2 linked regions of the Nothobranchius furzeri genome follow. The protein of the gene in region 1 purifies or fractionates together with the protein of each later gene. This does not show direct contact. Links are inferred from orthologs where the notes say so. Each region holds a gene or a part of one and is shown on either strand. Other genes may lie near its edges.

What was found.
Region 2: the proteins of eif4a2 (region 1) and eif4g3a purify together in Homo sapiens (affinity purification with mass spectrometry; 3 studies listed by BioGRID and IntAct, with this or other methods). This does not show direct contact. The link is inferred for Nothobranchius furzeri from reciprocal best matches to the Homo sapiens genes EIF4A2 and EIF4G3.

What each region holds. Positions count from the first base shown.
Region 1 is NC_091751.1:69,534,713-69,538,528, reverse strand, and holds part of eif4a2 (eukaryotic initiation factor 4A-II), read right to left. Parts: intron 2,907-3,816; exon of another isoform or gene 2,794-2,906; intron 2,720-2,793; coding exon 2,587-2,719; intron 2,553-2,586; exon of another isoform or gene 2,480-2,552; intron 2,402-2,479; coding exon 2,262-2,401; intron 2,043-2,261; exon of another isoform or gene 1,968-2,042; intron 1,886-1,967; coding exon 1,717-1,885; intron 1,634-1,716; coding exon 1,524-1,633; intron 1,467-1,523; exon of another isoform or gene 1,287-1,466; intron 1,218-1,286; coding exon 1,074-1,217; intron 1,043-1,073; exon of another isoform or gene 863-1,042; intron 776-862; coding exon 638-775; intron 561-637; coding exon 471-560; intron 234-470; coding exon 154-233; intron 85-153; coding exon 1-84. UniProt on the Homo sapiens protein: ATP-dependent RNA helicase which is a subunit of the eIF4F complex involved in cap recognition and is required for mRNA binding to ribosome.
Region 2 is NC_091743.1:76,800,398-76,804,870, forward strand, and holds the start of eif4g3a (eukaryotic translation initiation factor 4 gamma 3), read left to right. Parts: upstream 1-1,490; 5' UTR 1,491-1,703; coding exon 1,704-1,864; intron 1,865-4,473. Other genes in the region: ece1 (endothelin-converting enzyme 1), read left to right, coding at 40-216. UniProt on the Homo sapiens protein: Component of the protein complex eIF4F, which is involved in the recognition of the mRNA cap, ATP-dependent unwinding of 5'-terminal secondary structure and recruitment of mRNA to the ribosome. Functional homolog of EIF4G1.

The sequences.
Region 1 (3,816 bases):
ATGTCACGAAGAATCCTTTTGTCCTCCTCAGTGACAAAGTTGATGGCAACTCCTTTCCTACCAAAACGCCCACCGCGTCCAATTCTGCAGAGAAGGACCTCGTTAGTACAACACCGGAGAGCACGGAGCGCAGGAGTCCACAGCTCTCCTCACCTATGAATGTAGTTTTCACGATTTGTAGGAAGGTCGTAGTTGATGACCAAAGAGACTTGCTGCACGTCAATCCCACGAGCCTAGGAGAAGAAAAACCTTACTGACTGTTGGCCCGGGTGGTTGACCGCTTTTAGAACTTTGCCGATGTTGCTCGTGTTTCAGTAACAGATTCCTACATCAAAGAATGCATTGTGGAGAACGAGCCTTCATCTCCCAAACGTTGGACCGTTTCAGTCATTTCAAGACTGTCGCAAGATGGACAACGATTTGGGTTGCAGTTTCAGGCAAGAACACGGAGATCTGGAATCTATACAAACCAGAAGATCTGTGGTGATCAACACTCTGCTGGAGCCGGACCTGAACTCCCTCATTATCACGTCACGCTCCTTCTGGTCCATGTCTCCGTGCTGGAGAGAAGAAAAACAACTACTCATCAGAGAACAGAAGAGAGTAGGACCTAATCAGCAGACCGACGGTGTCGTACCAGAGCAGAGACGGTGAAGTCCCTAGCGTGCATCTTCTCTGTCAACCAGTCGACTTTTCTCCTGGTGTTGAGGAAGATCACAGCCTGGGTGATGGTCAGAGTCTCGTACAGATCACACAGTGTGTCCAGTTTCCATTCCTGTAAACAGTCATTAACATTAATTAGTTGTCGTCAACAGAACATCAACCTGACAGGTCTGAACATCAGGAGGAGTTCAGCAGCAGGGTGTGTAACACAGGATCTTGAGACAAAGGAACTGGAACATTAAGAAAGAGGTCCCTCCCAGTCTCCTTTGCAATTCTGTGATGTTAATCTTCTTCCCTGGTGTACCCATGCTTACACGGCCACATGAGCTGAAACAGGTTCAGCTCCTGCAGTTTGAGCAGGGTGCTTTAGAGAGAAGGTAATCAGTCCAGCAGCACCACAGCAAACCAACCTCTCTCTCCACATTTATGTAGAACTGCTTGATACCCTCGAGCGTGAGCTCCTCCTTCTTCACCAGGATGCGAACAGGGTCCCGCATGAATTTCTTTGTTACCTCCAAAACATCAGCTGGCATGGTGGCCGAGAGCAGGACCACCTGAGGAAGGAACGACACGTCAGAACACGACACCAGAACATCGACACAGAAACCTTTAGCTCTGCGGCCAGGTGTAGCACGTCACCTCGAGAATGCAGCCAGCGAACATTAAGAAAGAGGTTCGACCACATCTCATTTTCGGTTCAGTGCGTTTTAATCTCCGTCTGCATTGTACTCTGCTAGCATTATTGCATGGAACAGAACAACTGGACCACACAACTACAGCACAGTTCTTGAACTGCAGAAGGGTCGCCAAATCACCACGAGTCTCGCCTCAAGGCTCTTTGTTCTGCTACGGATACTCACTTGAATGTTTGTACTCAGTTTCTGAAAGATCTCGTAGATTTGATCCTTGAACCCTCGACTCAACATCTCATCAGCCTCGTCCAGAACAAACATCTTGATCCACTTAGGGGCTGCAGAAAAACATACACAACAGTCAGATGGGCTCACTTCCAGAACGTGTGCTAATCTCCCTCCCAGGAGCAGCGATACCCACATAGATGTCTCCTGTTCAGCATGTCATACACACGGCCCGGGGTGCCCACCACTATGTGAGGAGCCTCGGCCTGAAACTTCTGAATCTCACTGCGAAGATTAGTCCCTCCGATGCAAGCATGGCAGGTTGCCCCCATGTAATCACCCAAAGCCAAGATTACCTTCTGAATCTAAAGGGAGATGACAAAAAATGCCACCAGTTCAGAAATGGTGCAAATAAAAATGCAAACATAAGCAGAAAAAAACGGTTTGGAGTGATCAGTAAAGCAAAAGGAACTCTCCACATCAAGAGTCAGTCCCGAAAGATGGTATACCATCATATCACTCGGTTTCCGCATCAACAAACAGAATTCAATCCAACTTAATCATCTTGTAGACTGATGCAGTCACGGACAGAGACTACACCAATCAGAAGATGGCATCAATTATTTCATGAATTTTGACAAATCTGTAAAAGACGGTACCTTCACATCTGAACAGTGTCCTCAGTATGCTGCCTAGGCCTGAGACACTGTTGAGGTTATCATGACCTCAGGAACAGCATACCTGCTGAGCCAGCTCTCTGGTGGGAGCTAACACCAGAGCCTGGGTCTCCTTCTGTTCAATATCCAGCTGCTGCAAGATAGAGATGGCAAACGTGGCTGTCTTGCCTGTGCCTGACTGGGCTTGAGCAATGACATCATAGCCTAACGATGAGAGAATTTGTATTAAAACTCCATAAACATCTCAGATAAAACGATACAAATCTCAACACGGCCTCTTAAGAGTGATCAGTGAGAAAAAAAATATCACCATAATTTGGTAAGTCCCGAAAGATGGTTAAGCATCATTTCACTCTATCAAAAACCACCACGCAGTTCGACTTGTGTACCTTTGATGCAAGGAATGATCGCCCTCTGTTGAATGGCCGATGGCTTTTCAAAACCATACGCATATATTCCCCGGAGAAGGGACTCTTTCAGGTTCATATCATCAAAGTTGTCTGTAATCTCATTCCAGTTGCTCTGGAAAAGACAGAACAGGAGTTAGCTGGAATCTTCACTGGTCCTGTTTTTGGCGTTTTCACATCTGGCCTGACCCCGTCTTTGCAGCGTCGGCATGCCCCCACGCGGCCAAGTTTTGTTCACCTAGCCTTCTCCGGAACATGTCTCCGAGCACATGGGTGGAGGCGGAGAAGTCTGTGGTGTTTCCCTTAAGTTGATAAACAGGTGGTTAGGGATGTCCCGATACAACTTTTTTTCACTTCCGATACGATATCGATATGCAGCCTTCAGTCTTGACTGATACCGATATCAGCACAAATCATAACTACTTGTACCCATTTCATGGTGTGGAATGCATAAAAGGCTTGATAACAGTGATATTACTCAACGAGAAAACAAAAGCCAGCAACAGTAAGTGTAAAAACGGACCAATTTTTTCATTTAACTTTGATTGCATAACAGTGGAGGGATGGGATCTAAGGAAAAAAACAACATTGTTCACTGACCAACTGCTACAGGTTTCAAATTCACGCACTGCAAAAACCCTCATGCAATGTTTTGTGATCCTGCTTCAGACGCACGATGCAGCTGGACTTTTTCATGTTCCACCACAGGAAACTTGTGCATGGCAAGCGTTGCACCGAGTCTTTTTCAGACTTTAACAAAAAAATAAAGCCACATGGCCGACATTGTTCCTCGCTACTTTGATAGCACATTGTTCTGATCACGGGGACTTTGCATGCTGGATCTGGGCGCTGAGGGATAGAACTGCTGGAATGGAATTTAAAGAGGAACGTACTAATAATATTGGAGATTTTTGATGCAAACCGATATAATCTGATAGTGTTTGTGGGCCTACATCTGATATTAATATCAGAACGAGACTAGGGTTGTCACGGTAACCGGTGTAGCGGTAAACCCCGGTAAAAAAGTTGACAATAATAATAACAGTCTTGTTTTTTAAAAAACATATTATCGCTGTGGATTATCGTGGCTGCGGTGTAGGCGCGGTGACCCTTACCAGCCACCGTATCATCCGCTGAAGTTGCCGGATTTCAAAATAGATCAAAGCAGACCGATCAGGTTGGGTTGTCACGGTAACCAGTGTAGCGGTAAAC
Region 2 (4,473 bases), on another chromosome or scaffold:
GAGAAATCAATTTAATGTTTTATTTTTGGTCCCTTGCAGGTATGGTGTGCTGTCAGGACACCTGAGAGCTCCCATGAGGGTGTGATCACAGATCCTCACAGTCCATCAAGATTTAGAGTCATAGGCACAATCTCCAATTCACAAGAGTTCTCAAAGCACTTTGGCTGCGGAGCAGATTCTCCTATGAATCCTAAACACAAGTGTGAGCTTTGGTGAGGCCTTTCTGTGAAGTGCTGTTAAGTGAGAAGAGGTGAACGTGAGTGAAAAGCCTGTGATATTCTGACAACGTCTATTTGGACGAAAATGTGAGAACCACTGAAACCCTTAATGCCTTGCCACTTAAAGCCTGTGAGTCTCCTTATCAGGATGCAATGTGCCTGCTTCATGTGGAGGATTGCACTCCTTTCTGCTTCCCCACAAGGACTGCTAATTTACAAAACAACTCAACCTAAATGTAGTTATAAAAGTGTTTTTATAAACACTGGAAACCCTTCATACAGACACAGAAGGAGGGCAGCTCAGTCTTTGAAAACAGCTTGCTCACTCTATGGTTAATAAGCAGAAATCTTTGTTCTTATGTGTGAATATGTTTGTGAACTGTTCTAATGTTTGGAGTAACTGGTTTTTTAAGTGTATTTATAGTTATATTTTTATAAAGACTTTCCAATGACTTTCAAGGTTTAATTAGCAAAAATTGTGGCAAATCTTCAGCATTATCTTTGAGCCACTGCAATAATTCTGATCCGTTTGTGTAAATCTCAAAGGAGAGTGTAATTCAGAAGTTATGCAGGTTCTAAGCCGCTGTGTCACGTTCCTTTTACATGTTAAACTGTTGCAAATTATTTGTATATTAAAGATCAACCTTAAATCTTATTTTGCCTTCATTTTTTTCAGTGATGTCAGATTTTAACCAGCTAAAATAAACCTGAAGGAACAAGTGTTGCTAGTTTGCAGGTACAGTACCGCCTGTGTACCGGCAGATGGCAGTGATAACACGTTTTTAATCAGAGTCCTATTGAAGCAATGAGCTGGGCAGTCCTAGGATTATCTTTGCCCATAAAGACAGTTAAATTACCAGAAAAGGATGCGCGCATTACTTCATGTAGTTTTATTTCCATCAATTGATTAAATGCAACAAAGATCTATCCAGGACTCAAATATTATTTACAGAACTGGGAGATATGGGGGAGCATGTACCATTCACGTTTTGGATACGCGCGCACTGTTTATTTGAAGGTTCGCTGATTAGCCGAGTGATTCCGTAAGTACCCGAGGATTGCCGAATCATCTGTCCTGCCCGGACAGAAGCGGCTGCAACGCCATGTTGGCGAAGTCTCTCATTTCTGTGAGAAAAAAATGATAGAACACATTATTGCCGAGAAGAAAAGATAGATCGCAAAAAGGAGGTTGAGAACCGCGTCATTAATTTGATTTGAAAGGAACGAACCGAGACGGACCCGCAGAGGTTCCGGACGGACAAGGGAGGCTAAACCTCCCACCGTCCCCATGAATAGCACCGCTGATCCGAACAGCGACTTTTCATGAAAAAAGACGTTTGTATTGCTTTTCGAGCTTCGTTATCCCAGTTCCAGTAACGGGATTTGGGGCATGCTTCAAGCAACGCTTGCTTTATGTATGCAAGCTAAGCTTTGTTTATATCAGTATTAAGGTATTGTTTTACTTTTTGATTTTTTTTTCTTGCGATGAGTTTGCCATCGAAAGTGGTCCCTAAGCCCGCCGCTGTCGCAGTTAGCGGACCTGGAAGTGGCCCCTCTCCGTCGAGTCAACTACGGGCTACCCTGACCTCCGTGTCTCTGCCGCCTGGAGCCCCAACTGCACCTCAGCCTGGTGCCGTTCCACCTCCGTATCCTTTCACATGGGTAACACACAAATTGAGTGCGACTCTGGAGTTACATTGTACTTCTTAATAGTCACTCGCTGCATAGTGTTATTCGTGCTAGATAATAGAGCATGGATGTAGAAATGATGGTTTAATTTGGAGGGAGGGGAGAGGGCACAATTAGCTAAGCATGCTAACGTTAGCTAATCAAGCCGGTTGTCCAAGCTAAATGTGTCAGGTTTATTTTGTTAGTTGACGCCACTTCACTGAATTAGCTTACTTTTTTATGAAATATATGTATATATCGTGATTAATCCCAGCGGGAAAGTAAAATTATGATTTAGAGAAAGTTTATTTGAGACAGGAAAGCTTCATCACCGGTAAGCTATCGTTCTTCTCACCGGTGACCGGCTTTGTTCACTGCCGATTGTTGACTAGCAAGATGCGTTAGCCGAGTTAAAGCACTGCAGCTGCTATACCAAAGACAGCCCCTTGTGGTTAAAAAGTGTACAGGTCAGTGGATGCAACGTCGAGCTGAAGGGCGTCATCCACTTCGGCGTCCTGATCTATGGTTTTATAATGTAATTGAGCTAATTCAGGCTAGTACCAGGCCCGGTGTCTCAGAACCCCAGTGGCTGTTGAGGGGGGCGTTGAGTTCAGTGAATGACAGATGGGCATTTGGTACGAGCTGGTTGTTAAAATACCAGCTGATAATCTCTTCAGAAGGTGTCTCCGGGCTTTTAAACTGATTCTACCTTCTGTGATGCCGGAAAGTCTCACCTCATACATGCGGGTTCTGCTCGCACCAGGATGCGTTGTCACTTAAACTATCTGTTTACCTTTGAGTTAAATAAGATGGGGGGCCTAAGATCACCTTTTGGTGGAGTGAAGTCACCGCGCGGGTGTCACCTCCTGTTTTATTTACAGCATGGTGTGTGTGTGTGTGTGTGTGGGGGGGGGGGGGGTGGCATTGGGTGGATGTTTGCTGCTTGCTAGAAGCAGAGATGCGTATTTTGTGATCTGATGGCATCCAATGAGGCTTAGCTTTTGGTTGGGATGTCTCAACCTGATGTCCTGCCTCTCAGGATCACCACCACCTTGTGTTTTCGATTTCTGAATGGGGCAGCAGGTTGTAGCAGATGCCAGCAGCAAGCTATCGCCTTTTCAGTTTCATATATTTTTCATGTCTGAATAGGACAAGTCAAACCTTTTTTTTTTTACTCAAGGCTATTGACATTAATCCAACATTCTTTCACCAACGTTCACCGACTTTTGTTACCTCTTATAAAGAGCTGTACACTTTAAATATGCTTATTGTCATTCTTGTTTAAGGAACTTTAAATATTTTTGAAAGTTTTTAGTTTTGCAGCTTTTCTTTAGTGTGGTTTTCAAGTTAATCTAGTACAACTGTCTATAATCACAGAAATAAAACAACTAAGTTATCAGGCTGAAATAACACTCTTATTATAAAAGGCTCAATAATATGCATTAGAATGGTGTTTAGTTCCCTTTTGTCCATCTGATATATATAGTTAAAATATGTTTAAATATTTGACCTAGATTTCAGTAACATTTTAGGTTTATATTAATAACCCTCATCTTAGGCATAATAACACATAAATATATCCAGTAAAATCTAATGCATTTCATTAACATGCATTTGTATTGGAAATTGTAATAACATTTCATTTCTGCAGCTAACAATGTAATGGTGGCATGTCTATTATGTACGGGTTGGCATTAATCCAGTTTAAATTATGTTCTAAGAAGTGTTTGTGAATTATATACAGTATACAGTGGGGCAAAAAAGTATTTAGTCAGCCACCGATTGTGCAAGTTCTCCCACTTAAAATGATGACAGAGGTCAGTAATTTTCATCATAGGTACACTTCAACTGTGAGAGACAGCATGTGAAAAAAAATCCATGAATTCACATGTCAGGATTTTTAAAGAATTTATTTGTAAATCAGGGTGGAAAATAAGTATTTGGTCACTTCAAACAAGGAAAATCTCTGGCTCTCACAGACCTGTAACGTCTTCTTTAAGAAGCTTTTCTGTCCTCCACTCGTTACCTGTATTAATGGCACCTGTTTGAACTCATTATCTGTATAAAAGACACCTGTCCACAGCCTCAAACAGTCAGACTCCAAACTCCACTATGACCAATACCAAAGAGCTTTCGAAGGACACCAGGAAAAGAATTGTAGACCTGCACCAGACTGGGAAGAGTGAATCTACAATAGGCAAGCAGCTTGGTGTGAAAAAAATCATCTGTGGGAGCAATTATCAGAAAATGGAAGACATACAAGACCACTGATAATTTCCCTCGATCTGGGGCTCCACGCAAGATCTCATCCCGTGGGGTCAAAATGATCATGAGAACGGTGAGCAAGAATCCCAGAACCACACGGGGGGACCTGGTGAATGACCTGCAGAGAGCTGGGACCACAGTAACAAAGGTCACCATCAGTAACACACTACAGCGGCAGGGAATCAAATCCTGCAGTGCCAGACTTGTCCCGCTGCTGAAGCCAGTGCATGTCCAGGCCTGTCTGAAGTTTGCCAGAGAGCACATGGATGATACAGCAGAGGACTGGGAGAATGTCATGTGGTCAGATGAAACCAAAGTAGAA